Rhinolophus ferrumequinum: one gene and its partner. The protein of the gene in region 2 interacts with the protein of the main gene of each other region in a pairwise test. Links are inferred from orthologs where the notes say so. Each region holds a gene or a part of one and is shown on either strand. Other genes may lie near its edges.

Evidence for each region.
Region 1: the proteins of SEC22A (region 2) and SFTPC interact in binary tests that used the Homo sapiens proteins (3 or more experiments, as listed by UniProt). The two-hybrid records come from large-scale screens. The link is inferred for Rhinolophus ferrumequinum from reciprocal best matches to the Homo sapiens genes SEC22A and SFTPC.

The regions. Positions count from the first base shown.
Region 1 is NC_046301.1:44,262,924-44,277,980, reverse strand, and holds SFTPC (pulmonary surfactant-associated protein C), read left to right. Parts: upstream 1-7,983; 5' UTR 7,984-8,012; coding exon 8,013-8,165; intron 8,166-8,347; exon of another isoform or gene 8,348-8,436; coding exon of another isoform or gene 8,437-8,478; intron 8,479-9,171; coding exon 9,172-9,330; intron 9,331-9,681; coding exon 9,682-9,804; intron 9,805-10,048; coding exon 10,049-10,159; intron 10,160-10,559; coding exon 10,560-10,697; 3' UTR 10,698-10,707; intron 10,708-10,912; 3' UTR 10,913-11,116; downstream 11,117-15,057. Other genes in the region: LGI3 (leucine-rich repeat LGI family member 3), read right to left, coding at 277-348, 471-542, 878-949, 1,724-1,795, 2,692-2,897. UniProt on the Homo sapiens protein: Pulmonary surfactant associated proteins promote alveolar stability by lowering the surface tension at the air-liquid interface in the peripheral air spaces.
Region 2 is NC_046285.1:47,824,424-47,839,403, reverse strand, and holds the start of SEC22A (vesicle-trafficking protein SEC22a), read right to left. Parts: upstream 7,412-14,980; 5' UTR 7,306-7,411; intron 6,911-7,305; exon of another isoform or gene 6,567-6,910; intron 1-6,566. UniProt on the Homo sapiens protein: May be involved in vesicle transport between the ER and the Golgi complex.

The DNA of each region.
Region 1 (15,057 bases), on a different chromosome or scaffold from region 2:
CACATAGTGTCTCATGTGCATTTTAAGAGGGCCCACAGATGCCTTGAGAAACCCTAACTTAGAAGCCTACCGATATATATATATATATATATATATATATATATATATATATGTTACTCTTACTCAACCTAGCCTTCTGGGAGTCCCACACCCCCCACCCACACCCTTCCAGCCTCTCAAGACCTTATGACCCTCCCAATCTGGGCTCCCACAACACTGCCTCCAGGGACATGCCCCTCTGTGGTTCTGTTAAAAATACTAGGACTCAGGCCTTACAAGTCACTCAGGATGTCCAGGGGCCGAAAGATGTCTCTAGGCAGCGTCTGCAGGTTATTGTTGGCCAGTGAGCTGCAAGAGAGACTTCTGGGTCACCTAAAGATCGTGACCGAGGCCAAAGGCCATAGGAGATGGGGGTGGGGTAGGGTGGGTCGGGCTTTGGTTCAGAGAGTGTATGTGTGGAATGTACTCACAGGTGTGTTAAAGACTTGAGTCCTCTGAAAGTAAACTTGGATAGTGCCCAGATGTCATTGTTCTCAATGAAGCTGGAGGAAATGAGAATTGTTTCAGTCATCAGTCAGGATTTCGGGACCGCTTCCCCAACTGATTGCCTTACACCCCACCTAGGTTCCAGACCATGGCCCTGAGACAGGCTTCCACTCCAAGTCTGGAGATTATTAAGCCTGCGGTGACAAGACATCCAGGCAGGATGGTTTCGATAGAGGGACGGATGGAATGACCTCTGCTTGGGTCCTGCAGTCAGAGGATTCCAGGGCTCTCACTTTCCCCGGGCTTCCTCAATCAACCTCCCCTCTCAGCCCAGCCAGGCCCTCTTCCTTCCTCCCTTCCACTGCCCATTTCCCCTTTCTTTTCCACGCACAGGTACTGCAGGTGCGACAGTCCTGTGAAAGCGTTGTCTCCGATCAGCGTAAACTTATTGGAGTTGAGTAACCTGGAGAGACAAAGGCAAAATTAGAGCTTCCAAGGGCATGATTGCTGCCTCAGCCCTGGGTTTCCTCAAGGCCTGGCTGCCCTGCCTCCCACCTTCGGGACCCCAGCAGAGAACCCCAGAGCAGCCTGGATAACAATACCAGGCAGGAGCCTATTCTGGTCCCAGAAACTCCCAGGGTCCCCATTTGCTCCTAGGGTAAAAACAGTCGGTGTAGATTTCTGCGGGCAGGCTGGGTCCTTCCCCACTGGTTCTCTCTGCTCTCTCTCTCCTATCCCCATTCCCCACCCCTCCATCTGGGACTGATGGTAAGAAGGAGGTGGGGTAACTCCCAGGTATGCTCTCTTGTGACTGGGGCTTTGAATGTAAACAGCCCCTTTTAGAATTACAGGCTATCTGGTCTTCCTTCTGTTTGGTTTTTCTTCACATCCTGGGCTCACCTGTCTTTAATATGAACCCTCTCCCCTGCAGTGTCCACCCTCAACCCAAGTTATTCCTTTGGGTCTCCATTCCTAACTGGACCCCAAACACCCACTTCTTGGCTTTTGCATGAGACCTCTGCCCTTCTCCCCAACTGCTGCTTCCTCCACCCCTCCTGACTCTAGGCTGCTCCACCTTTTGTGACAGATTCCATCGGGCATGTAAGGGTCACCTGCCTCTGAATCTCCAAAGGCTACCTGCATGGGTTCTCCTCTCCCCAATCCAGGATCTGTCGCCTTCCACTGCCCACCCCTTTCCCCAAACCACCACCCGCCTTCCTCAAGGCCCTGTCCATACAGGAACTGCAGCAGTGGCAGGTGGGAGAACGCTCCATCCTGGATCTCTGAGAAGGCAGCATTCACCAGCGTCCTGCAGGGGACACCTGAATCAGTACTGTGAGGAGTATGCAGGGACTGTGCTGGGTGGGGGGGTGCATGGTGGACAGGGCAATGGTTTCTATAGGCACTTGCTCTGGAAACTCGCCATTTCGCCAGCCTGGCCCTCCACCTGGGCCTGTCTTCCCCTTCTCCTCACTGCCTGCCTTCATCATCACCCACCCAGACGGCCTCCCTGAGCACCAATGGCCGCAGATTCAGCTTCCCCCTCAGCCAAAAGAAGGTTCCATTACCCACACCTTCATCATCCTCCAAACACCCACAGTTACGCTGGGTGCTATTGAGCGATAGGACCCTGGGATGGGAGTGGGGGGATTAGCACTGTGCTCTTTTTGTTTCCAGAGGCTGCTGCTGCAAATGACAGGTTGGCTGGCCCTGTGCAGAGTGGCTGGTGAGACCAGTGGCAGGTGTCTGCCCCGTGCCAGGGTGCTGTGTGGGTGCATCTCACTTCTACCCCTTCCCCTGCTGCCTCCTTCCCTCCCCCCACTAGAAGCCTTTCTGCCCTTGGTGTGACATCACAGACAGGGGCCCACATGCTAGAGTAAACAACCCCCTCCTGTCTCCCCAATCCTGAGCCCTGCACATAGTAGGTCTCATTGATGCTGCTGGTGGTGATTCATTTTGGCCATGAACTCCTGCTTTCTCCAGCCGTGGCTGCTGAGCCTGCATGACTGCAGGACTCCCCGCCTGGCTGGTACCTTGAACCTCCAGTTCTTGAGGACCCCCCTGGAGTCCTCCTGGTTTCCACGCTCAGTAGAAGCGGGGAAGCGGGGTTCTCCCCATCCACTCCCAGAGCTGTTCATGCCTTCCTCCCTATCTTGGCTCACCCCCCCCACCCCCACCCCACCCAGGCCAGGGCTGGGCACTCACAGAGAGATGACCTCGGAGGGCAGGTTCCTGGGCACTGCCTTAGAGTCCACGCAGAAAGCCGTGTCCCTGGTGCAGGAGCAACTGGGCGGGCAGAGGGGCGTTTTGGGGGGCCTCTTGGCACTGACCTGCAGCATCAGGCAGAAGCCAAGCGTGGACAGCAACAGCAGCGGCAGCCGGGAGCCGGGTCTGGGCCGCAGCCCCGCCATGCTGCCGGCAAGGTTTGCCTCCGGCCACCGGCTGCCCCTGCCCCACCGCTCTCTGCCACTCTGCGGGCTGGCACCGCCTGGCCACCGGCGGCTGCTGCCGCAGCGAGGGGCCCGGCTGCCGGTTGCGGAGAGCGGGCTCCTCTAGCTCTAGGTGCCGGCTGCAGTCCTCTCCCCTGCTCGCTCCCGCGAACCGACTCGGATTGATGCGCGCAGAGTAGCGGAGCAGAGGGCTGCCCGGCTGGGATGGCTGCGGACTGCGGAGGCGGCCGCGGGGGCGCGCAGGGCGGTGGGGGGAGTCCCGGGCTGGGAGTAGCCAACGAAGGGAGTGGTTGCGGCCCTGGCCGCCCTATGCTGCATGCCCTACCGGAGGTCTCTGGGCCATCTGCTTGTGTCTGGCATCCAGAGCGTCTGTGCATGTGTGCGAGATATACATGTGCGTCCTAGATGGCAGGACAGCGTGCACACCTGTCTCTGCAGGCCCGTGAACAGATCCCCTTGTGAGGCATTTCTGCACTAGGGATCTACGTGTGTGCCTCGGTGTCCCCGTGTGCATGCCTTGCCCTCAGGGACACGTCCTCTAAGCAGATTCATGGGCATGTTGTAAGTGACAGGTGTGTATCTGCACTCACATTTGTTTCCACAGCTCATGAACATAATGTGCCATTGTGTCTGTGTGAGCGGAAAAGGGGAATGTCATCACTGAAGCCGGCGTGGGAATGTGTGGAATTCTGGAACATTTCTCTGGCACAACCACAGCCTGTTGGAGCTGGGAAGGGCCTTGGAAGTTTCCCAGTCCAGCCCTGTGTTTAAGAAATGAGGAAACTGAGGCCAGAACCAAGAGGAAAGTAGCCAAGCTTGATATCACACCTACTATGTGTTGTGGACTCTACTTACTTACTCCTGTCCACCTTTTGAGGCAGATGATATTGATCTCGTTTTACAGAAAAGTAAGACTTATAGTACCAGGGGGAAAAAAGTGACAGAGCGGAGGTTTAAATCCACTCTGCCCAATTCCAGGCTTAACAGTTGTTCTTCCACACCCGGGGTTTTCAGTGTGGCCCAAGCAGCCCAGGGGTCCTTGAGAACCTTTCAGGGACTCTTTGAGGTCAAAACAATTTTCCTATTAAAGACATTATTGCCCTTTTCACTTTCATGCTCTCACAAAGTACCCTGGAATTTTTTTCTATTAAGCGAGAAATGAAAGAAATTTGTAAAAATGTAAAACAATAACATTCTTCTCTCTAATTTTTTTTGCTTTGTAAAATGATTTCACTTAAACTTTATGTTATTTATGTTATGTAATGGGTTTATTATTGCTATTTTAACGCATGAATAAATATTTTTTTAATTTCTCAGTAAATAATAGATATAACCCACATAAACAAAAGCTCTTTGGGGTCCTCAATACTTTTTAAGAGAGTTAAAGGACCCTGAAACCAAAAAGTTTGAGAATTGCTGCTCTATGCCATGTTACCTCCCTGGGGTGTGGGTGTATGGTGTGTGTGTGTGTGTGTGTGTGTGTGTGTGTGTGTGTGAGGGGGTGACTGTCCCAAGAGCTGCCAGGTACAGAACAAGGGGAGCCTAGAAGTCAGGTGATTGGGCTCCCAGTCTGGTGCTCTTTACACATCAGTCCAGGAAATCGAGATCACCGGGTTTAAGATGCTTTCCCAGCTGACCCCAGCATCAGCCAGCAGGGGATTCTTTGGTCTGAACTTAAGTCCATGTTCTGCCAGACAGGGATGCCCTGGCCCTTTGATGCATCCAGCTTCCCGTGCTGCCTTCCCCATGCCAGCTCGTGGGAAGATAAGCAATGGGGGTGGGGACGGTGGCTGGGGCAGCTGGGCAACCATCTCCACTCGTCCCTGGCACGGCTCTGCCCAGGACACAAAGGGCAGAGTGAATCCTGTCCCGCCCCTGCAGCTGAGGGGCTGGAAGGAGAAACAGGGAAGACACACATAGAAGGAGGGGCTATTGTGGGGCTTTCCACGGCCACAGTTCTCAGAGGCTTTAACCCAGAGACAGACAGAAAGGGGGAGGCGGGGTCCTACTCTTAGTAGGGTCCTTCTCTAGTAAGACCTGCCCTGGGAGTTGAAGTAAATAGTGATAATCATGGACTTTCACATCATGATGTCATTGGATTCTCACAACAGCCTGGAGCTGGGGACAGGCAGACAGTATTAGTCCCATTTCACAGATGAGTACTCTAAAGCCTAGAAAGATAGGATGTCTCATTCAGGGTCCCAGAGCAGGCCAGTGAATCACCGAGTCCTCCACATACTGAAGGAATGAACTATTGACCGTTTGTCAACGAGCCCCCACATGTGTGGGGATAGCCTTATCGTTGACTATAATTACACGTTGGGTGCGTGCAGGCTCCTTGCTCTGGGGCAGGTACAAAGAATCCTCAGGAAAGCTTGATCCCAGGGCCAGTCTCATGGCTGGCAGCTAGGTTGAGTAGGTAAGGCAACAAAAAGCACCCACATAGCTGATGAGACCATCAGGGAGTGTTAAGTGGCAGGTAAACATGTGTCAGGGAGGCTGGGAGATTTTGGAGGAGGGATGGGACCCTGTAGGCTGGGGCGGTAAGGTCACAGAGTAGGTGCTATTGGTTCTTGTTTGGCCTTTTAGGGTGGGTGGTATTCAGAGAGGTGGAGAGGTGTTGAGGGTGGGCTTTCCAGAAGGGAAAACCGGCCTAAGTAAAGGACAAGAAGAGAGAAGCCTGCAGTAGAGGGCTAGTGTGAGGAGCAAAGGGACAGCTATGCAGGACCAGCTAAAGCGCCCTCCCTCCTTCCTTCTCCACATTTCCCAAGATCTCTACCAGGTTGCTGGCAGCATCTGAACTTCCCTTACGAAACTGGAGGGCATCCTTCCTTCCCAACTTCCAAACAGGCAAAAACGAGAGGAAGGAAGGAAGGAAGGAAAAGGAAAGGAAAGGAAAGGAAGAACTGTAAAGCTTATGAGAAGCACAGCCTAAGGGCAGCCTGCAGGGGAGACTGAGGACCGGAGAGGACCGAGGCTTCTCTCCCAGAAAGAGCCCCCTTTCCCACACCCTGTGATGATGGCAAGCCCGGCCAACAGCACCTGTTCAGAACAAGCTCCTCAGCTGGACTAGGCAGTCCCCGAGATGCCCACAGGGACCTCCTGATGCTTGCAGTTATCCTTGGCCCTCCCGCTGGCCTGCTGCCCACCTGGCGCAGGCCCAGTATGTGTGAGTCAGCGATCAATCCCAGTGTTGCCAGGACAACTGGGGGTGGGAGTGGGGGCTCTGGGGGCTGTCTTCTGCCTCTGGCACCTGCACACAGCTGAGGCTGCACACTGAGAGGAGGCCGCTTCCCCCTCCTCCATGAACCCCTCTCCCCCTGTTTCACTCCTCCTAGGACACTGGCTGCTAGAGGCTTAGGCAAATATTTAAAGGGGCCGTTGGGGGTGGGGCAGTGAGGTGGGTGGTGGGAGCAAACATTTCCTTCCTTCTCTCCTTCTCCAATCTTCTCAGGGGCTCTCAGCTCAGATGCCATGCTGTTGTGCAATCTGGAGGCTGAAGGCCCTCCAGCTGGAGAGGGGGTTGTTGTGGGGACAGGGGAACCTGCCAGGGCTGAAGAGTTGGGGGTCTGCTCAGGATTGAAGGGCAAGGCCAAGGTGCGAGGGAGCCCCTGGGCAAGGGACAGGAATTGGGATGAAGTGTTGGAGTTACGGTATAAGGAAGATACTAGAGGGAGGCCAAGAGAAGAGCGAGGTGTGGGGCTCTGATTTACACACTTGGGAAAGTTTAGAGTTAAAGGTGCCACAGAGCACACCTGTCCCAGCAAGCAGAGGGGAACCTGAGAGAAAGGATACAGCCATCAGTAGGCTTGTTTAGCACAACGAAGCAACAGCGATGGCTTTGGGAAGGAGGAGGAAAGAGATAGAGGGGAGGAGAAGGTCCACAGAGTGGATCCCATTTGGGCAAGTAGTGTTCTCCAGGCAAATTTAGGATCAGAGGATGTCAAAGGAAGAGTGCAGAAGGGAAGGGTGATGGCAGCACCAAGGAAGTGCGCTGATTCAGGGGTGAAGAGATTGGGAGCCCATCAGTCACCACACCCAGCCCGGTGCAAGGCTTTCTGGACAGAAGAAAGAAGTGTCAGGTGTGGAATCTGCAATCAAACGTCTTCAGTTTGAGCTCTGAAAATGGTTTGCCATTCACTTGACGCAGAACACCCCACAAAGTCACGCAAATCAAGAGGCTCAAGTCTTTGTGTTTATTTTAAAAAACACTCATGAAACTGCCCAGGCCATCAAGGGTATGTATGTCCGAAAAGCCACCAAGTATCTAAAGGATGTCACTTGACAGCCGTATGCGCCATTCTGTCGTCACAATGGTGGAGTTGGTAGGTGTGCCCAGGTCAAACAGTGGGGTTGGATGCAGGGTCGGTGGCCCAAAAAGAGTGCAGAACTTCTGTTGCACATGCTTAGAAATGTAGTGAGGAATGCTGAGGGTTTAGATGTAGATTTTTCTGGTCATGGAGCACATCCGGGTGAACAAAGCTCCCGAGATGAGGTACAGAACTTATAGAACTCTTGGGGGATGAACCCCCCAGGTGAACAAAGCTCCCAAGATGAGGTACAGAACTTATAGAACTCTTGGGGGATGAACCCCTACATGAGTTCCCCCTGCCACAGTGGGATGATCTTTACTGGAGAAAAGCAGATTGTTCCTAAACCAGAAGAGGAGGTTGCACAGAGGAGAAGAAACGGAAGAAACAAAAACGTTGGCCTGGGAATAAATTCAGCATCAAATAAATGCAAATAAAATAAAAGCAGGAAAAAAACAAAACAAACAAGCCCATAGCAAAGAATGGAAAACCTCATGTTAGTAAGAATTTGTAACTGGAGGGGACAGAGTTTTCAGAATTTGGAAAAGAATAGCTGGGGGCATGTCTGAGGTTAGGTAAGGAAATGTGGTAGACAGCAAGTAGAGTACTTGAGGTCAAAATCTGAATGCTCCCAGAGAACTTATGAATGATTTATGAACCTCCATACTGATGCCTTCAGCAGTGCACGATCTGGGGCCACAGACACTGCTTCCTCACTCCCATTCCTGAAGCGTATCCCTATGCTCGGGTTAATCCTGTAGGAAATATGATGGACTTCCCACTGGGCCAGACCCTTGGCTGCCTGAGAGGTACAGCCTGGAAGAACAGGGAAAGCCACAGGACTGCAAGGACAGGTGCCAGCAAGAAAAGTGGCCATGCCAGGAAGATACCCACGGTGAGAGGTGCAGATTGCCCAAGGGTAAGTTTGCTCAACTCACCCAGCTTTGCTTTCGCCAGGGCTAAGAGGACTCACGTGCCAGAGCAAGGGCCCTTAGGTGCTCTTGCAGCTGCCTTATCAGGGCCGTGGTTCTGGAGGGCCAGGAACAAACAGGCTTCAAAGCTGAGGGCTTGGCTGGCAGATGGTTGCTGGGCCCTTCACCTCTGTCCCCTCTCCCTCCTGGCACATATAAAACCCCAGTCTCACACATAGGAGACGTAGGAGACGAGGAGGGGAAGGTGCCTGCAGCAAGATGGATGTGGGCAGCAAAGAAGTCTTGATGGAGAGCCCACCGGTGAGTGTGAACATGTGTGTGTGCGTGTGTGTGGTGGGCCTCTCTGGGCTTATTTCCCCATCAAATTTATTCGCTTAACCGACCTAGGATTGTGCTAAGTTAGAGCAGGGACACCGATCACTATGACAGAGTCCTTGGGGGAGATAGACATGGCAGCCGATGATTCTAATATGAGTGGCTGAATGGCACCACAGAGGTCAGTGGAAAGGGCTGTAGAGGGCACTGAGTAGGAAACCACTGCTTGGACAGTCATAGGAAGAACCACAGAGAAAATGACATTCGAGCTGACTCCAGGAGAATAAGCAGGAGCTCCCCAAGTGGAGAAGGAGGAAGGCACTCAGAAAGAAGGGCGGTAGGTATAAAGGCACAGAGGTGTGAGAGAGCATGAATTGTTTGGGGAACAGAGAGGGAGTGGGCGTGGCGGAGGTACCAGGGGTCTGGAGGAAACAGCGGGAAATATCATTAGTGAAATAGGCTGTCTCGGGTCTCTCCAAGCCAGACCTCACTTCTAAGCATCTGTTGGTTTGCTGGAATCCAGGCCACCTCCTCCTCTGATCTCCTCATCCTTCCTCTGCACGACCATAGCATAGGTTGCTCAGCCCTGGGAGGGCGTGAGAGGGTGTCCAGCTAGTGCAGGGAGAAGGGGTGTCCTCATGACTTCATAACTGTCTCCTCCCCACCCCACCACATCAGGACTACTCAGCAGCCCCCCGGGGCCGGCTGGGCATCCCCTGCTGCCCTGTGCACCTCAAACGCCTTCTCATCGTGGTCGTTGTGGTGGTCCTGGTCGTCGTGGTGATTGTAGGGGCCCTGCTCATGGGTCTTCACATGAGCCAGAAACATACTGAGATGGTAAGCAGGCCTGGGAGGAAGTGGGCAGGAAGTACAGGGCATGCCAGACAGATTGGCTTGGGGGGCTGGGTAGGCAGCAAACTGTCCAAGAGGAATGAGAGGAGGAGGCAAGGGGCACCTCGTGGAAGGACAGAGGCAGAAGCAGGGTGGCCAACCTGGCCTGGGCTTTCCCCTCACCCCTACCCCACCTGGGGACAGCCTGTTCCTTCCAGCACCTGGTTCTACTCAGCCTCTCTGAGCTCTCAGGGAAGAAGGAATTGCATTTGAGTATAGGGGATTGAGAGTGGGCATGAGTACTGAAGGGACAAGTGGGGAAAGAGGAATGCCAGGCCGCGCCGTGCCCTCCCCCAGGTCCTGGAGATGAGCATTGCGGGGCCGGAAGCTCAGCAACGCCTGGCTCTGAGTGAGCGTGTGGGCACCACTGCCACCTTCTCCATTGGCTCCACTGGCATTGTAGTGTATGACTACCAGCGGGTGAGTGTGCCTGGACCTCTTGACCCTGGCCCCAGGGGACCCATGACAGGACTTTGCTAGATCCACCCAGCTGTGCTACGTCATACACACCCATCTTTCCCCATACTCCAGTGCTTTTGCACCCCCTGGGGGTGCCTGAGCCCCAAATTCCAATATAACTCCCTCCTGTGCCCAACCTAGAGGGAGAAGGCCCAGGACAGGGCCTAGCTCATTCCCTAATTACCTCTGGGGCTCCTATGCCCAGCTCTTGATTGCCTACAAGCCGGCACCAGGAACCTACTGCTACATCATGAAGATGGCTCCGGAGGCCATCCCCAGTCTTGAGGCTCTCACTAGGAAATTCCAGAACTTCCAGGTGGGTGTGAGGGCGAGAAGGAATGGGTTGTCTCTCTCCCGAGGCTGCTGGGACTTCTAGGAACGCCTGTGTGTGGCACAAGGAGTTGGGAGCACGTTGTCAAGTTCTGACCCTGTAAAGTGCTGTTCCTCTGGGGCTGCCAGGGAAGGGTCCCTCTCCAGACTCACCTGCTCTACACCTTCCCTACCCATTCCCCAGACCCGCCCCACCACCCCACCTCCAAGCTGCTGGCCTCAATTTAGCCCACACCACACATAGGGGCTTCTGACTCCAGCACAGACCCCTCTTTACTGGTGAGGAAACTGAGGCTCAGAGAGATTGCTTCACATGCCTGAGGTCCCACAACGAGGGCCACAGGTGAAACTCAGCTCCCAGGCACCAAATAAGGTGTACTTTCCAGGTGAAGCCTGAAGTGCCTCCCGCTAAGCTGAGCCAGGAGAAAGGCCATGACACTGGCTCAGCATCCAATGGGGACCTGGACTTCCTAGGCAACACCGTGAACACCCTGTGTGGTGAGGTGCCCCTCTACTACATCTAGGATCCTTCAGGTGAGCAGGTGTGACCTCCAGGGCACGGGAGTAGCAGTGGCCCAAGAGGGCTTGGGCCACCTTGTCTTGTCAGTTGACCTGGAACGGGAATCCATTGAGGCCGATCACCCAGGGAGCTCAAGGGAGGGCAGGTTCACAGACAAGCCCCCCGACCCCACCACCAGTCCCTCTCCCTCACATAATACAGTGTTTCTTTGCTTTGCAGGGCATGCGGAAGCCCCAAGGGGACAGGAAAGATCCATGAGCAAAAGGTCTTTTGCAGACAGGCAGGGAGCTGCTCCTGCCACACACACTACAGGAACTGGCCCTAGAGAAATGGGAATCTGTGGGGAGAGGTGGGAGGTGGGAACAGTCCGATGAGAGGTGGCTCCTAGGGATCAGAGGGCTCCTACCACAAGAGAATAAAGCATCCTGATTGAAAAACAAAGGGTGTCCCTTTTCTCCCCTCCCACAGTCCCGGGGTCCTGCTCTTGGTGGGGGGGAGGGGAGGGTAGGGCCTTGAGGAGCAAAGGTGGCTTTCCCACTCTTTCTGGCCCAGGGTGATGGTGGGGAGAGGGGACCTGGGAGCGATCAACGGGCTTTAGGCGCCCTCCAGTGGTGTCTCCCGGGAGAGGGCGGGAGACAGAAACAACTCTAGGGACAGGGACCGCAGTGAGACAGAGCAAGGATCCGAGCAAGGGAGAGACCGAGAGATGCAGGCTGAGAAGCGCGGGTCGTGACCAAAGGAAAGAGCGAGGCACAGGCGGCGCGAGCGACCTGACAGCGTGTCCCGCACCGGGAGGGGCTCGGGCCGGGCGCGCGCGGGAGAAACACCGCTAGAGGGCAGCTGGGGGGGGCGGTCACCGCCAGCACCCCGGGGCCCGCACCCCTCTCCGGCCCGCGCCCCGCGCCCGGGCCGCCCGAGCCTCCTCCCGGTGCGGGCCGGCTGCTCGTCTTCCCCGCCCCGGCTGGCGCGCCGCCCGGGCCGGCGGATCGTGGTCCCGGCCCCCAGGAGGCCGATCTCCGGGCGAGAGCCCGCCCCCCAGCGAGCTCATTTCCCTAAAGGGGGGGACGAAGGAGGGAGGGCGGGAGCGAAGGAAGGAGAAAAAGAAGGGAAGGGAACGGAGAGACTGGAGGAGGGAGCGGGCCGCGAGCGGGCGGCCAAGGGGCGGGGGACAGGAAGGAGGGCGGCGAGCGCAGGGAAGGGGAGAGGTGGTAAGCGCGGGGGGAGCGGGCGGGCGGGGAGAGCGGCGGGCGGGGAGGGGAGCGCCTCCCCCTCGTCTCCAGCGCTCCGCTTCCCCTCGCCCGCTCCCGCGTCCGGGCGCGACCCGCCGCTGCCACCGCCGCCAACGCCACCGAGCCCGCCGCCGCCAGCATGCCCGGCGTGGCCCGCCTGCAGCTGCCGCTGCTGCTCGGGCTGCTGCTGCTCCCGCGCCCCAGCCGCCCGCTGGACTTGGCCGACTACACCTATGACCTGGGCGAGGAGGACGACTGGGAGCCCCTCAACTACAAAGACCCCTGCAAGGCGGGTAGGCACCCCTACCCCGGGGCCGGCGGGACGCGAGGGCCAGGCGCGGGGAGGCCTGGCCCGGAGGCGCGGACTGCCGGAGATTCGGGGTGGGGGGAGGACGGTCCGGTGTGGGAAGCCGGGAGCTGCCTGGTTGGCAATGCAGTGGGGAACAAAAGAAGGAGGGAAGGAGGGAGGGGAAGTTTGGGGGACTTTTAGGACTGAACTTTTGCGCTGTTTGTGGAAGCCTCTGCCTCTTGTCTTCCCAGAGGATTCCTGGGGAAAGCTCCCTGGGTCCGGAGAGAAACCTGCGGCCAAGGAGGCTTTTCCTCCTGCAGGAAACTTTTCTGGCCAAACTCTTGTGAGTGTTTGTGTGTGTGTGTGTGTGTGTGTGTGTGTGTGCGTGTGCGCGCGCGCGTGTGCACTTTTTCCTTCTCCCCTGTCTCCAGCTCCAGGACATTAGTGTTTTCCAGCCTGTCTGTCTGGGCTGCCCTGAGACTGCACATCTCTCTCCCTGGTATGGGGTGGCCTGCATCTCCAAGGAGCAGGTTTCCTGAGGCCACCACCCAGCCCAAATGGAAGAAGAAAGGGATCCTCTGAGATCATGCTCCCTGGATGCCCCGGGGTCCCCACCAGTGCGGCAACTTTCTGGGACAGAGGAGACAGCTGTCAAAGTCAGAGAAGCCAATACAGGAGGGGGACTTACCTATGCCCCTGTGTGCCAGGGGCTCCCACCAAGACCAAGTTTGAGGGAAAGGGGGAAATACAGAGAACTCAGACACTGTATATCAGCTCTGTCAGTCCACAGACACTGGAGGGTTATTAGCCAAGATCAGGAGCCTGGAGTGTGTGTGTGTGTGTGTGTGTATGTGTGTGTGTGTGTGTGTGTGTTGTTCTTTGTCCACGAAGACCCTATGTAACCTCTTCACTCCTGCTGGGCCCAGAGGGGTCCTGCCCCTGGAATGACCAGATAGCCAGGCACTCGGGCTATTTGCCTGATTGGATGACCCTGAACAGGCTGCCTGGAACAAGAGAACACACAGGGCACAAGATATCAGAACCTTTCCTTGATTTCCTGCCTCTGACTTCAGCCTATCTCTGAATAGCCAGAGCCAGAGTCAGTGGCACAGTTCCTAGAGTTCTAGGAGTGCCTGTGTGTGGCACAGGGGTTTGGGGCAGGTTGCTCGAGTCTTGATCCTGGGGACCCTTATCTGGGTGAATGGACAACAGCAAACTTGGGAATAGGAGCCCCTTCCTGTGGGAGGAGGAGAAACCAAATCCCTCTGTCCTTTTTTCTCCACCCCTGCTGGGCTGTGGGTAAACCGCAAAGTTGGCTGTCATCTTTCTTTTGGGGCGTGGGGTGGGGGTGATGCTAAGTGGACAGAGAGTGGGCTTTAGAAGCAGGCAGACCTGGCTGTCAATGCTGGACCCACAAGGCATTAGCTGTACAAACCTCAGAATGTTAATTAAAATCTGTGACCTTTGCTTTTCCCACCTGTAAAATGGAACTGATGATACGTCTGTCCGTAGAGTTGGTGGTAAGAATTAAATATGAGAACATATACAAAACACTTATTAGAGCTTAACACACACTAAATAAATAATAAATACGCACTAAATAAATGTTGGCTGTCTACCCCCTGTTTTCTGTGCCTCACACTCTCACTTCATTTTTTTCTGAGGGAATAGGCTTGGTTTTCAGAGACAGGGAGTGTCTCTCTGGCCCTGTCCTTGTGTCACTTATTCACTCAGCTGATTTGCATTTACTGAATGCCTTATATGTGCCAGGCCTTGGGCTTGATGTTGTTGGAGATACAGAGAAGTGTAAGGCAGGGCTCCTGCCCTCAAGTTGCTGACAGTCCAGGAGGGAACAACACATGGGGACTTACCCAACAGCGCAAACCAAGATGCATTGTGTGCCACCTTGGAAGGGAAGGACCTAAAGTCTCAAGGAGCTTCTTGCCCCTTTGCAGCTCTGGTGGTGCTGGTGGTAGAGAAACAGTGGTCATAGTAGGCTGGGAAGGTTTGGGGGTCTTCATGGAGGAGGCGGGCTGGGACAAAGCCTTAAAGAATGGTTAGGAAGCCAATCTGATGTATTTCACTACTAGTTGGAAGTTGCAGTGATTTTCAGAGCAGCAGGAGGCTGAGGGCTTTATCCCCAGTCTCAGATTTCATGTTGGGGTGGGGCTGGCTGACTTGGAACTTCAAACAAGAGTTTTGCAGAAAGCTCTTCACCAGGATGGAGTGAGGCCGGTGGGGAGCTGGGCCAGGCCTGGGGGTGGCCCAGAGGGCCTGAGAGCCTGACAAGGCCAAGATTCAGGGTCAAATCAGGCCTCCCTCCTGGGCGTGACTGGTGCAGTCCTGCCTCCGCCCTGACTTCCTAAGACCCCACACCCACGTCCTCAAGCCTCAGGTCCCCAGGCTCTTTTCTCTGTTTCTCCTGCCAGACTTTGCCTCTTGCCCTCTCAGCCCTGATCTCCAAGGGCTGGAGGGGATCGTTGCAGGTGTGCCTGACTTTTTCACATATTGAAGGTTTGTGACAACGCTGCGCCAAGCAAGTCTACTGGCGCCATTTTTCCAACAGGCTCAGATAATCGTTAGCATTTTTTAGCACTAAAGTATTTTTGATTAAGGTGTATACATTATGGTGTTTTTAGACATAATGGCATTGCACATATAATAGACTACAGTACAGTGTAAACATCACTTGGATATGCACTGGGAAACCAAAAACTTCATGTGGCTCGTTTTATTGCGGTATTCACTTTGTCGCAGTGGTCCGGAACCAAACCAGCAGTATCTCCGAGGTATGCTTGTGCTTCCTTTGGATGCAATAGGTGTTCCTACTTACCGCTGCTCTCGAC
Region 2 (14,980 bases):
TTAACAGCAATAACTGAAAAAAACCTAAATATTGAGTAACAGGGGATGGTATACCCCTGTGATAGTACATCCATATGATAGAATATAATGCAGAAACTGAAAGTTATGTTTATAAAAAATAGTTTAATAATGTGGTAAAATGATTGTATGTTTGGTAGGGGGAAAAAAGGCAGGATAAAAACTGTAAGTGTTGTTTTCCAGAAAGAAAAAGAGAAGAGAGGAATAAATGGAGAAACAGATACTGGAAGAAACCATACCAAAATTAGAATAATGCTTATATCAAGGAAATAGTGGGTGATTATCATTTTAAAATTTCCTAAATTTTCATATTTCACAATGGGCACACATTACTTTTATAACCAGAAAAAATTTTTATTTAAAATAAATCTTAAAGCTAAAGGAACACTGGTTTTAATACTGTTCTCAATCTTTTTACCAGAAAGTAAAAAATAATAGCCTATTTTATTAGATTCTGGTCATGCTTTACAAAAATAGATAAAAGGACTACATAGGCCTGGGTGTGAAAGAAATCAGTCAAACTTTGATAAAACATACACAGTGGTTTTCAAATTTTAGCTTGTATAAAAATCACTGGAAGTTTAGTTAGAAATGCAGATTTCTCCTAGACAAGAAAAAGCTAAAATAGTTCATTACTACCAAACCCGTATTACCAGAAATTAGTTAAAGGGAGGAAGAGGAGGAAGGGAAGGAGGGGGGAGGAGGAACATAAAAATATGAATAAAATGGTAATAACTACATAAATATCAATAATTACTTTTAATGTAAATTGATTAAATACTCCAATAAAAAGACATAGGGTGACTGAATGGATAAGAAAACAAAACCCATACATATGCTGCATACAAGAAACCCACTTCATATCAAAAGACAAATATAGACTTGAAAGCAAAAAAAATGGAAAAAGATATTTCATGCAAATGGAAATTAAAAAAAAGGCTGGGGTAGCAATACTTATAACAGACAAAAAAGACTTTAAAACAAAGGCTATAATGACACAAAAAAGGACATTTCATAATAATAAAAGGATCAATCCAACAAGAGGATATAACCTTTGTAAACATTTATGCATCCAATGTACATGCACCTAAATACACAAAGCAAATATTGATGGATATAAAAGGATCAACAGTAATACAGTAACAGCAGGGGCCTTTAACACCCCATTGATATCAATGGACAGATCATCCAGACCAAAAATCAACAAGGAAACAGTGGTCTTAAATGACACATTAGACCAGGTGGATTTAATTGATATTTTTAAAACATTTCACCCAAAAGCAGCAAAATATATATTCTTTTCAACTGCACATGGAACATTTTCCAGGACAGACCGCATGGTAGGCTACACTCAATAAATTTAAGAAGACTGCAGTTATATCAAGCATCTTCTCCAGTCACAATCGTATGACACTAGAATAAATTACAAGAAGAAAATTGAAAACACACAAACAAGTGGAGGCTAAATAACATGCTACTAAACAATGGATGGGTCAACAATGAGATCAAGGAAGAAGTCAAAAGGTACCTTGAGACAAATGAAAACACAATGACTCAAAAATCTATGGGACACACACAGCCAAAGCAGTTCTAAGAGGGAAATTCATAGCAATACAGGCCAACTCAACAAACAAGAAAAATCTCAAACAATCTAACCTTACACCTAAAGGAACTAGAAAAAGAACAAACAAAGCCCAAAGTGAGTAGAAGGAAGGAAATAATAAAGGTAAGAGAATAAATGAATGACATACAGTCTAAAAAAAAACAATACCAAAGATCAATGAAACCAAGAGCTAGTTCCTTGAAAAAATAAACAAAATTGATAAACTTTTAACCAGACTCTCAAGAAACAGAGAACCTGAGTAAATAAAATCAAAAATGAAAGAAGTAACAATTGATACCACAGAAATACAAAGGATTATAAGAAAATACTACAGGGGCCGGCCTGGTGGCTCAGGCGGTTGGAGCTCCATGCTCCTAACTCCGAAGGCTGCCGGTTCAATTCCCACATGGGCCAGTGGGCTCTCAACCACAAGGTTGCCGCTTCAACTCCTCGAGTCCCTCACGGGATGGTGGGCAGTGCCCCCTGCAACTAAGATTGAACATGGCACCTTGAGCTGAGCTGCCCCCCTGGATGGCTCAGTTGGTTGGAGCACGGGCTGTCAACCACGAGGTTGCCAGTTCAATTCCTCGACTCCAGCAAGGGATGGTGGGCAGCGCCCCCTGCAACTAAGATTGAACAGGGCACCTTGAGCTGAGCTGCTGCTGAGTTCCCGGAAGGTTTGCTGGTTCAACTCCTCGACTCCCGCAAGGGAATATTGGGTTGCGCCCCCTGCAACTAGCAACAGCAACTGGAGCAACGGGCAACTGGACCTGGAGCTAAGCTGCACCTTCCACAACTAAGACTGAAAGGACAACTCGGAAAAGAAAAGTCCTGGAAGTACACACTGTTCCCCAATAAAGTCCTCTTCCCCTTAAAAAAAAAGAAAAAAAGAAAAGAAAATACTACAAAAAATTACATGCTAACAAATTTGACAATCTGGAAGAAATGGATAAATTCCTAGAAATACACAATCTTCCAAGGCTGAATCAAGAAGAAACAGAAAATCTGAATCAACTGATTTCTACAAATGAAATTGAATCAGTAATCAAAAAACTCCCCATATACTAAAATCCTGGACCAGGTGGCTTCACAGGTGAATTTTAGCAAACATTCAAAGAATTAACACCTATCCTTCTCAACTAAAGTTCCAACATGACTATCCAAATCATTTTTTTTCTATTCTAAAAGCAATAAAAAGAGAAAGCTGAGATCCCTCAAGGGATAATATCTATACTATAATCCCCTTTTAAAAATTGTTAACACGTTTTATTTAATTAAACAATTGCTATATTTAGCCTCAGTGTAAGAAAGTAGGCAAATGTCTTACTTCGTATCCTTAACCATTTAGTATTTAAATATAAAACTTTTGTCTTTACAGAAGTATACTGTAACACAAGGACTACTCCAGGAATTAACATGAAGGCAGGGTTGTGATCTATAGTTTCCAAACATCCATATACTTAGTTTTTAAAAGCAGACTGCACTCTTTTATGCCTGATCTTTTTTAGGATCCCAACAGAATTAGGAAGTATCTTTATTATAGGGTGCCAACTTTCATGTAATCTTCAAAGTTACTCTTTTCTTCTTTATGACTTGAAAGGCACAAAGATAAAATTCATACTTCCTAAAACATATACTGAGAAAAGAATACCAACCTGTAAATTCCATTCATTTAACATTTATTGAGTACTGTTAAAAGGAAGAGCCACAGGCCCAAAATGGCATCACTTGTGATAAATACCTATAATAACAAACCTAGATTAAATACCTAATCTAATTGCAGTTTCAGCCTCTCCCAGAAGTGGAATTTTAAACCAATCACTCTGGAATTTCCCGATCCACTAGTGAGGTAATCTGCCTGGTAAGACCCCCTGCCATTCCTTGCCTAAAATAATCTACTTTGAACTCTTTAGTTCCACCCTCTTTCTGCCTATAAAAACCTTCCATTGTGTATAACGTGCCAGACTCATGACTCGCTTAATAAAGCCAATTAGATCTTCCAAATGACTGTTGAATTTTGTTTTTAACAGTATGTACTGTGTGCCAGGGACTATGGCAGACATTAGGAATACACAGTTCCTACCATCAAGAAGCATCAGCCCAGAATTAAAGAAATTCAGATGAAAAAAGCAAACAATGCAAGCTGTGTAGCACACCACTTTACTAATTGGAAAACTACAGTTAGACAAACTTATTTCAGATATTCCTAATACACACCTTTAGGCTTGTAACCAAAATTCTTAAAAGGCTGTCAAAAAACTGTTTTTATTTATCAGAAGATAAGATTTTTCTGAGAAAAAGTCTCTTCCTCCCAGAGTCAACTGACCTCCCATCCAGACCGAACAAAAAAACCTGAGATGACTGTCCAATGAGCAATGCCAGGCTTGACTAATTTGTAAATAGACTTCAATTACCTTAGGATAAACAATTTCCCCTCTATCAACTAGATAAATATTACCCACCCTTTCTTTTTTCTTTTTACCATGGATTCTTAATGCAGTTTTTTAAAACCAAAAACAAAACCAAAAAGCTCATCTTATCTGGACTGTGCTAGTATGAAGAGGCATCTGTCTACATCAAGGCCAAGTTAGGGTTAGAGTACCCTTAGAGTCTAGGCAAGGCGGTGGTTGGGGAAACAAAGGAAGAGTCAGTGGGAACTGCGGAAAGAGAGAGGTTAAGATACTTGCCAATTAAGAGTGATAGATTTAGAGTGACAATTTAGGAGCAGAAGTAGTGTTATCAGGGCCATAGATACATTTTTATGCCACTGGTCTATTTTCCCTTACCTTTAACATAGGAAAAATATTACATATGCCTTTAGACAGTGCAGAAAACTCACAGGGACTCTGAGTACTGGCCTCTCCCCAATAGCAAATGCTAGAGGAAAAAGCCCAAATTAGAATCTAGATAGGTCTGGGTAAATATTTATGTAAAGGCCAAAGAAAAGAAACTCTCATAATACCACACCTCCATAGCAGGGGTTAGCAACCTTTTAGATAACAAGATGCTGACCTTTCTTCTTCAGAAACTTGTGGGGTAATGCCTGTGGGTCCAAGGTACCAGGAAGGCAATCTCTCAAACAGTAATAAACAAACCAAACATATAAGTACATTTTATATCTACTTTCTAGCAATATGCTTTCATAAATGCCTTTCTTTAAAGATTAAAAACATTTCATTTTGGGTTAATCACTCTTATTTTATTTTAGGTCATTATGTCCCAAACTCCAGTCATCCAAGTACCATTTTCAGAATTCTTACCATATCCGCATCCCACCTGTACTATTATGTACCTAGTATAGGTCTTTCATTTGACTTATTTATTGCCTTATCCTTAGCAATAGCATCTGTGAAATCAGTTTTGAGGTGTTAGGTTTTTCTCTTAATATAAACTAAAACAGAGAACTTTTGGGGTTTCATTCAAATGTGTATGAAAATTCTGGAGAATTTTAAAAAAATGTTCATCTGTTTATCACTCAAATTATCTTGTGTATCTTACGGTACCAAAATTTGGGAAATACTACCTTGGAACATATTTTATTAAAAGTGCTAACAGAGATCTGTGAGAATTGGGGGAGGGAGGATGTCATTCGGGGAGAAAGCTACACTTACTATACTGCACAGGGTGGGGGCAAGATTGAGAGAAAAAGGAAGGTCCTGCACAGCAATAGTTTAGCAAGAAGGCAAACAGAGCTTGAAGAGGAAAAGTGGAAAGGGTACCAAGGACAACCAGAACTTATTTTGCAACTTGCTCTTCCCCACCTCCCCCCGCAACCTCTCCAGCAGCCTTTGACACTCCTATTGCAGGTGTTTGCATTACACAGTATGTGCAGACCCTCATCTAGGAACATTTGTGTAACACATCATCATTCACAAACTGAGAGGGAGATATAATCTTCATTTTACAGATGAGGCAACGGGGGGAGGCTCCCTTTCTCAATGCCACACTGCTAATGTATGGCAGAAGTGGTGCTTAAACCTAAGTTTCTTGTATTTCTACATCACTATGCGACACCAATCTCCTAAAACCAACAAGGGGCAAGAACCCAGTGATACAGAATCTAGCTATTCATTTTGGATTAATAATAAAAGACCAGCTTACATTTTTTTAAGAGGCAGTATAGTATGTTAGCTAACAGGATGGACTCTGGAACCAGATTACCGGGGCTCAATAACTGGCTCCACCATATACTGTGTAAACTTAGGCAAGCTGTGTCTTTCTATACTCAACTTCCTCACCTGTAAATTGTGGCTACTAACAGTATCTATCTCATGGGGATATTTTAAAGATACTAATAGTATCTACCTCACAGGAACATGTAAAGAATCTGAACCACAGCCTTGCAGAATAAAAGTACATTATTGTTTGCTATTATTATTTATTGGCTGCCCTTTATTTCCCAGGCACTTTATACACATTACCTCATATGAGCCTTTCAATAACCTATGAGATAGGTTTCATCCGTTCTATTTTACTTTTGAGGAAATTCAAACTCAGAAGGATTAAATAATTTATTCAATCCCTAAACTAGCAAGTGACAGATTTAAACCCAGGCCTGACTCTAACCACCCTATGAGACATTGCCTTTCAATATATCCATGCTTCTTTCAGCTACATAGAAAGATCCCAGGCACCCCCTTTCGATAAGACCTGGGCTTTTTTCATACACCAATATAAAATATACTTAGATTTTTTAAAAAATCTATCATACACCAAAAGAAGCACTAAACAGAGATCATGGTTCTCAACATAGGAAACACCCAGATGTTCCATTAACTGAGGGTATGGTCACAGATGTCTGATTCGAATACTGAACTACAACCTTCATATACCACAAATTGTAGGTACTATTTAAGGTACTGCCTAATTCCTTATAATCTCAGCACATGAGCAAGTGCCAGTAACCAGGAATGTGATTCAGAGTTTTAAAAAGTGGCTGTTCTACCTGTCAGCTGGGATCCTAGCATCTCCCGATGGGTGGCTGACACTCAAGCCCTGGGCCCTGCATTGGCTGAGTAGGAGGGAATTTTCTCAAGCTCGCCAACTGCCCCTAGGTGGATGACCCAGGAAACTAAGGAGCGACGGAAAAGTCCAAAGCTGCTTTCACTGGCAGAGGGATTCAAGTCTGCTGGTGCTCGGCTTCCTATTTCGGAGCCCACTTCCACCTGTCAAGCCAACTGCGCAGGTCTGTCTGCCACATCGTTCCCAAAGTGCCATTAACGGGGCTATCAGAGGATTCCGAAGGCAAATCACTGGGCTCATTGCTCATTTAATTCCCACAAAACGCAAAGTAAGCCACTGAGTCAAATCCCACCCTGCCTAAAAGAAACAGGAAATGCCACGTCAAGCTCTCTGGGGCAGCCTAATGTGCCCCTGCCCGGGCTGCCCCATACCCGGGGCAGGTCAGCCAAGGGGCAACTGCCACCCGCGTGGCCCCACACACCCCGCAAGTCGCAGGGGACGAACTCCCTGCACCGCCGCCCCTCCAGAGCTCCTAGGCTCCAATGACACCCGGTTTCCGCCCCCACGGCACGGGCTTGGCTCCCGCCCTGGGTAGGTCTGTAGACACCACAGCCAGGGCCAGGGCCGTGACAGGAGGCGGGGAGCGTGAGGGGAGCGGCCAGCCAGGGGTTCGAGCGACCCCGCGAGGGAAGGAACGAGGACTGGGAAGGGCCGGGCCGTACCTGTAGAGCTGGGACCGGCCGCTCCGAGTCACGCGGCCCGCAGTGCATTGTGGGACAGGGGCGTGGCCTTTCCGCGGGGCAGCCCGGCGTCCAACGCGGCAGGCGCCCGGCGGGATCAAGCCCCGCCTTCGTCCTCTCCGCTCGCTCAGGCCAATCAGGTTCAGTGAGAAGGACACACTAACCCGCCCCTTCCCAGGGCCCAAGGTAGTCCCGCCCCCTCCAGGAGAGATTGGCAGTTTTTCACGCACCTACGTCAAGAGGTTGTTTACTTCTGTAGTGATAGAGTATGCTGTCCCTCTCAAATAAATCTAATCTCTTCCGCCTGCCTCCTGTATCTGGAGGCAATTTGTCTCTCATGCGGCCCTACAGCAAACGCTTGTCCACCGAGCGGGAGAGAAAACCCCTCTGAATGAGCGAGAACAGTTCCTGCCCTATTTACCACCACACAGGAGGAAACACCTAACCTTAGCAGAGAAATGCTAGATATCCACCCTGTGGCCCCTTCCCGTCTTTGCATCTGTCATGTATTATTAAATAAGCACTTACTGTGTACCATGTGCCAAGCACGGTGTTAGGCATTGGGTTACAGGAGTAAACATAACACCGGGTGGAATCTAAAGTATAATAGGAGCAAGAGATGTTAAAACATAAATCATTACATAATTATAAATTGTGATCAGAACTGTGATGAAAAAGTAGTGGGTGTGATGATGGGTTAATTCTGGACTATCGGGAAAGTTCTTTAAAGAAGTACCTTTTAAGCTCCAGGCATATGAAAGAGCCTTAAAGAATGTTAAAGGCCAAGGGAACATTATGTGTGAGGTTGTCAGGGCATGAGAGAACTTGGTGTGTTCTAAGAACTGAAAGGAAGTCGGTGTGATTGGGGTGTAGGGAGCAAACTTGGACTGAGAGGAGGCAAAGGCCAGACCATGCAGGCTCTTATTGGCCACATTATAGATTTTAGATGGTGTTTTGGAATGTATCCTGAGGTCAATGGGCAGCTAATAGAGAGTGTTAAATAGGGTCTGATTTACATATTTAAAAACTCACTCAGGCTGTTTGTGGAGAATGGTTTGCAAGAGGGCAGGACGGGTTGCTGGAAGGCCAGTTTGGAGGCAATTACATGAGTCAAGGCCCAAGATGATGATGTCTTGTACTAGGATAATGGCAGTAGAGACAGAAAGAGTTGGATAATTTTGAGACCTATGTAAATCAGAGGTGGACTCCAAGGGATTTAATGAATTGGTTTGCTGGGGAGGGCAAAGAAAAGAGGAGCATTAAGGACGACTCCTTAAATAACTAGATGGGTTAAGAAGCCATTAACATAGGGGAACATAGAAGGAGGACCAAATGGTTTGGGATGTGTTAAGTTTGCGGTGCTTATAAATGGAGATATCAGACAGATTTGGATATGTAAATCTGGAGTTCAGAAGAAATGTCTGGACTAATTATATAAATTTAGTGGTTGCTGGAGTGGGTTAACCCAGCAATTCCACTCCTAGATGTATATGCAACAGAAATGTATTTATATGTTCACCAAAAGACATTTATAAGAATGTTCATAGGATGAATACATTTTACAATATTCACATGGTGAAATAGTATACAGGAAAAAGAATGAACAATCTAACAACTACACACAATACATAGATGAATGTCACAATCATAAAATTAAATGAAAGAAACCAGACACAAAAATTGTATACTACATGATCCCACTTATATAATGTTCAAAAACAGACAAAAATAACAGATGGTAAAGAAGTCAGAAAAACCACAATGAGATACCACCTGACTCCAGTCAGAATGACTGTAATCAATAAATCAACAAACAACAAGTGCTGGCAAGGATGTGGAGAAAAGGGAACCCTTGTGTACTGTTGGTGGGATTGCAGATTGGTGCAGCCACTATGGAAATCAGGATAGAGGTATCTCAAAAAACTGGAAATGGAACTACCTTATGACCCAGCAATTCCACTCTTAGGTATCTATCCAGAGAAATCCAAAATGCTAATTCAAAAAAATGTACGCACCCGTATGTTTACTGCAGCTCTATTCACAATAGCCAAGACATGGAAACAATCGAAATGCCCACCGGTAGAGGACTGGATTAACAAACTGTGGTACCTTTATACAATGGAGTGTTACTCAGCCATAAAGAAAAATGAAATCTTGCCATTTGCAATGATATGAATGGAGCTAGAGAACATTATGCTAATGGAAATAAGTCAGATGGAGAAAGACAAATACCATATGATCTCACTTATATGTGGAATCTAAAGAATACAATAAATGAACAAACTAATCAGAAACAGTCTCAGAGATATAGAGAAAAAACCGACGGTTGCTAGATGGGAGGGGAGTGGGAATGAGGGAGAAGTTGAGGGGATTAGAAAGCATAAATTGGTAACCACAAGATTGCCTCGGAAATACAAAAGACAGTTTGGGGAATATAATCAATAATGTTGTAAAGATTTTGTAGGATATCCAATGGACACTTGTCTTATTAGAGAGACCACTTCATGGATGGTGTAGATGCCTGACCACTGCAATGTACACCTGAAGCTGAAGCTGAATAATAATGAATGTCAACTATAATTTTATATATATGTATATATATATATGTATGCATATATATATATAGTCACAGGTTGTGGAGTACAGCATAGGGATCAGCGTCAGTGGAATTCTAACAGCTGTATACGATGTCAGAGGGGTAGTAGATTGGGAGGGGGCGTTATGAGGGGTATAAATGTCTAACTATTACATTGTTTTTTACACCTGAAACTAAAAAAAAAAATTTTTAAAGAAAGAAAAATAAAATTTTAAAAGAAAGAAAAATAAATGGGGAATAAAAAGTCAGGATATTGGTTACCCTTAGGTGGTATTAATGTTTGGAAAGGGTCACTAGGGGCTTCTGGAGTTCTAATAATGTTCTTCTTGATCTGCATGTTGATTACACCAGTGTGTTCAGTTAGTGAAAATTCATCAAGCTGTATTTAAGATTTGTGCATTTTTTCAGTATGTATTTTATTATTCAATAGAAAGATTACATTTCTAAAATGTTATGGCCGATCCAGCCATGAATAAGGAACTAGTATCAGACCAACCTTCCTACCGCAAACAATAAAAAACTGGACCAAATCTATGAAATAAGTGTTTTCAGACAATGGACAATTGGCACAGTAAGACTGTGATCCTGGAAAGAAGGAAAACAAATAAGATGATCTCAAGATTTCCCCAGATTTCTTTCTGGAGATATTTACCTAAGCACAGGATAGAAGAAAGCCAAGCAGAATACAGTACTCTTGCTAACTGAGAAGAAAGAAATTGAAATGAAGAGAGACTGGGGCAACTGAAATTTGCAGGGCAGAGTATTAGAGAAAGAGTTCTAGAAATATGCGTAAGGGTCTCCTTGAATCGTTGGTGTAGGTTTAAGAATAGACTACATGAGGCTGGCTAAGTAACAATGACTGGATGAACTATAAGCTGAGCAACTACTAGAGCTTGAATAGGGTCAGGAAACATTCAAGTTTTGACCAATTGGAATGGCAAAACCTTGTGAAACACCTAGGGCATTTTGTACAGAGAGCTCAGAAATGCCACACTTTAGAGATGTGAACCAAAAAAAAAAAAAAGGTCCAAAGTGAAAGGCAACACGCATTTATTTGAGATCAAAAAGGAATAGGGAAGAACTGATTCACGCAGAAACCCAAATAGCGTTCAAATTAGGAGGCAAAGGCAAGGTTAATTAATGAGAAAGGGAAGGGGAATAATTACATCAATGGAAGGCATTGCCATTGTTACAGATAAGCTAACATCTGTAACAATAGAAATGTTTTTAATATTCAGTCCGATAGTCATCAGTCTGATAGCCAGTCTGCTTTCTTGTTATCCTTGCAAACAGTTCTTTGGGACACAATGAAGCTTTAGGCCCAGTCCAAAGGTGATTTTGCCCTGTTTTAACATTTCAAAAGTTTGACACATAAGATGTGCAAGGTAGTTCCTCTGGGATGACAGCTCAGATTCCATTTTAAAGTGGTTCCATATATATTTTACAGAGATAAGGCTAAACTAGCCCAACAGCAAAGGCTATTGTAGACCCACTCAAACAAAATTGAGACAGCTTATCTGCAAGTAAATTAACTTTATGCTTGAATGAAACTTAACAATCTTTAAAGAAAGACAACAAAATCCATGCACTAAATCATGTTATAACTGTAATGTCCAGTATACAATAAAAAATGCTATGTATGTGAAAAAGCAGGAAAATGTAAAGCATAAACAGGAGAAAACTCAGTCAATAGAAACAGATTCAGAAATGACAAAGATGATGAAATTAGCAGATGTGGACTTTAAAGCAGCTATTATGCATATGATCAAGAAATTAAAGGAACACATAATGAAGGAAATGGAAACTATAAAAAGAACCAAATAAAACTTCCAGATATGACCCCAATTGTGTTAGCTCCTAGGTTAGCATTTAAAGAGGTTGAAGGAAGGAAAGAGAGAAGTAACTAAAACTGTCCCAAAAGATTGTCAGACTTGTACCCTGTGTGTCTTACGGTTAAAAGTATTTAATATTTAGGCCGTGGGAAGGTGTTTGGGGATCAGTAATTGTTTTAATTTATAATACCTGGAAAGGAGTCATGTCCCAGGTTGTCATGTCCCAGAAGTTGTCTGTCAAAGGCTCTCTAGAAGTTGTCTGTCAAAGGCTCTCCAGATATACCCTAGGCCATTGCTCTATAGGTAGGGCCCGTGGGTGCAGCCCTGAGATGAGGTTGTATGGGTCCCATCCTCTGCCAGGCTCTTTCCCTGTTGCTAGTTTTCCTCTGTGCACTAGGTGACCTGCTGTCTGCAGATGGGATGCTGATCCCATGGAAATTATGAGATGGAAATTATCTTGAGATGGAAATTATCTCAAGATTGACGAGAGGTCTCTGACTGGGGAATCAGACCATGTCAGAAGTCCCCCAGAAAGAGATTCCATGTTGCTCTCAGGTATGGCCTGTGGCCACCCCAGTTCCCATTCTGCCTCCTCTCCAACAGCCAGGCCACAGAGACCTGATCCAGATCCTGCTCTCTCTTCTGACCCTACCCCATCTTCTTCTGGGTTCAACTGGGACAACAGTATATTAGTGGATTGAATACAAGGATATCAGGTAACCTAAAAGAGGTTCTCTACGAAGCAAGTGCTGTACAGGCCTTGGAAGGGCTCTACTGGTTGGCGGTGGGGGGTGGGGGAAGGAGACTTACCCTAAAGTAGTTAGACACATTTTTTTCCTTACCCCCAATTTGTTTGGCCTATTTTAAATGGGCCCAGATCTTGACATTTTCCTATTACTGTGTTTCCCGGAAAATAAGACCTAGCTGGACCATCAGCTCTAATGCGTCTTTTGGAGCAAAAATTAATGTAAGACTCGGTCTTATTTTAATATAAGACCGGGTCTTATATAATTAATATGATATAATATAATATAACATAATATAATATAATACAATATACCAGGTCTTATATAATATTAATATAATATAATACAATACAATATAATATAATACCAAGTCTTATAATAATGTTTGCTCCAAAAGACGCGTTAGAGTGGATGGTCCGGCTAGGGCATATTTTCGGGGAAACACAGTATCTGCTGAGTATATCATTATCCATGAGGGAGAAAGGAAGAGGGATTGTATTTTTCTAAGTCTGTGTTTCACACCAAAGCATAGTTAGGTATAAAAAACAACACTCCTCCCATCTTCTCCTTTCTCATACAGGGACCCATGTCATGGACTTTTCTGGCCAGATGGTAGTGACCGCTGTGGGTGTCAGCTCCCAGACTGGAATCATCTTTACTTATTGGGGGCCAGTGAGGAAGGAGAAAATCCTATCCCAACTTATATTCTCACCAATCATGTGTGCATTTTACCATATCATCACCATATCATCAGACTGTTTAATTTTTTTCCAGTTTGAAAAATGAAAAAGCTCATTGTTTAGTTTGCCATTTTTATATTATTAGTGAAGATGGTAATTGTTTTATATGTTTCTTGGCCAAGTGTGGTTCATCTTTTATAAACTGCACATTCTTCTACCTCTCTGGCTAAACAATGTATGAGTACTATTTGGTGAAACCCCCATATTTAAAAAGAAGCTTCTTCAAATATTACAAACTGTTAACCAAGGATAAAATGTTTCAGGCTTAATGAGGATTCTAATTTCCCAGACTCTTGTTTTGAATGTTTGCCTGTTTGCACCCAAAAGTTCAAAAATTAAAAAAAAAAAATTCTCCCTTTTTAAAAAAACAGACTCTCATGCCATATTTTCCAGGCAGTTATATTATCATAATCTTCCAGGTAGAGAATCAGAGCACGAAGTGTTTTTCTTAGTTAGAGTCACAGAATGATTCAGTGGCACACATGCATCTCAAATACATCATTCCATCTTATTTTTCAATTATGTGCCCCACACTTTTCTTCTCTCCCCGCCAGTCTCATTTGCTGGAATAAAGAGCCAGTTAGTATTCATAGGTTTTATTCAAACACATAAATATGTAAGTCATGAAAGAATGAAATGATCACACACAAGCTATAAATTATTTCTTGTTCCTGTTTACAAATAATGTTTTAATTACTGTATACTTCTTGGCTAAAGGAAAAAAACACTTAGAAATAATTTTCCCTCCAGCCAAAACTTAGTGAGAAATATGTTTTACTACAGTGGTGCTTGCACACAGAGAGAAACCTCAATGTGACTTTGCTGCTGTGGTTTAAGAAAGAAAAAAAGACAGGTAAACCGCAAGGAAAAGACTTTAAATTTTTATTAAAGGAGAGGGTTTTAGGTGGGGAAATTCTCCAAATCTAAAATACAGTTTCCCTAGCTGCTATAAATGCACCCATCATTTCTTTACCAGCCCAGATGGTAGTGACCTTGTAGGATAGATGGAGGGAGAGAAAAGCCTATTTCAGAAATAAGAAGTTGACTGTGTGGTATAGAAATACCTCCTCTTTAATCATTTCCTGGGGACTGAGAAATGTTACTATTAAAGCAGATAAAAATGATGAAAAATAACTATTAACATTTGCTTATTATGTGCTTAGTACTTTACACTCATCTCAATTAGTTTTTCTAGAAACTCTGTATCATAAGTATTATAATTACTATTATTTCATAGAACTAAGCCTTGCCAGACTTGGCCAAGGTCCCATAGTTAGTGACTATAAGAGTCTAGATTCAAATCCAGGCCTGCTGACTCACACGCTGGTTTTTTTTCACTGCAATGCTTTGCTGACACTTGCAGTTAGTGGCTCTGTAGTGGTGACAACAGACTGGCTGTTTTAGGCTTGTTTTCTCAGGACGTCTTAGGGATCCAGCTATGTCTGCGTATGCCGCTCCACTTCACCAGTTCAGAAAGCCAATGTTATGAGTTGATTCATCCTGGGCTGTGAGCATCCCGAGGGGAAATGTGAGTATAGGCAAAATCCACAGGTCTGTGGAAGGAGAAGGAGGCAAAGACCAGGAAAGCCACTGAGATTGGCGACAGGGATCCAGAAGCAGGACAAGAGCAGATATGCCGGCCATGCCAGAGATCATAGTGGGCTATTGGGAACCACATACTGGAGGGATCAAGGTTCTCCAGTGGCCAGACAAATGGCAACCAGGGGCAGAAAGCCTTCGCCG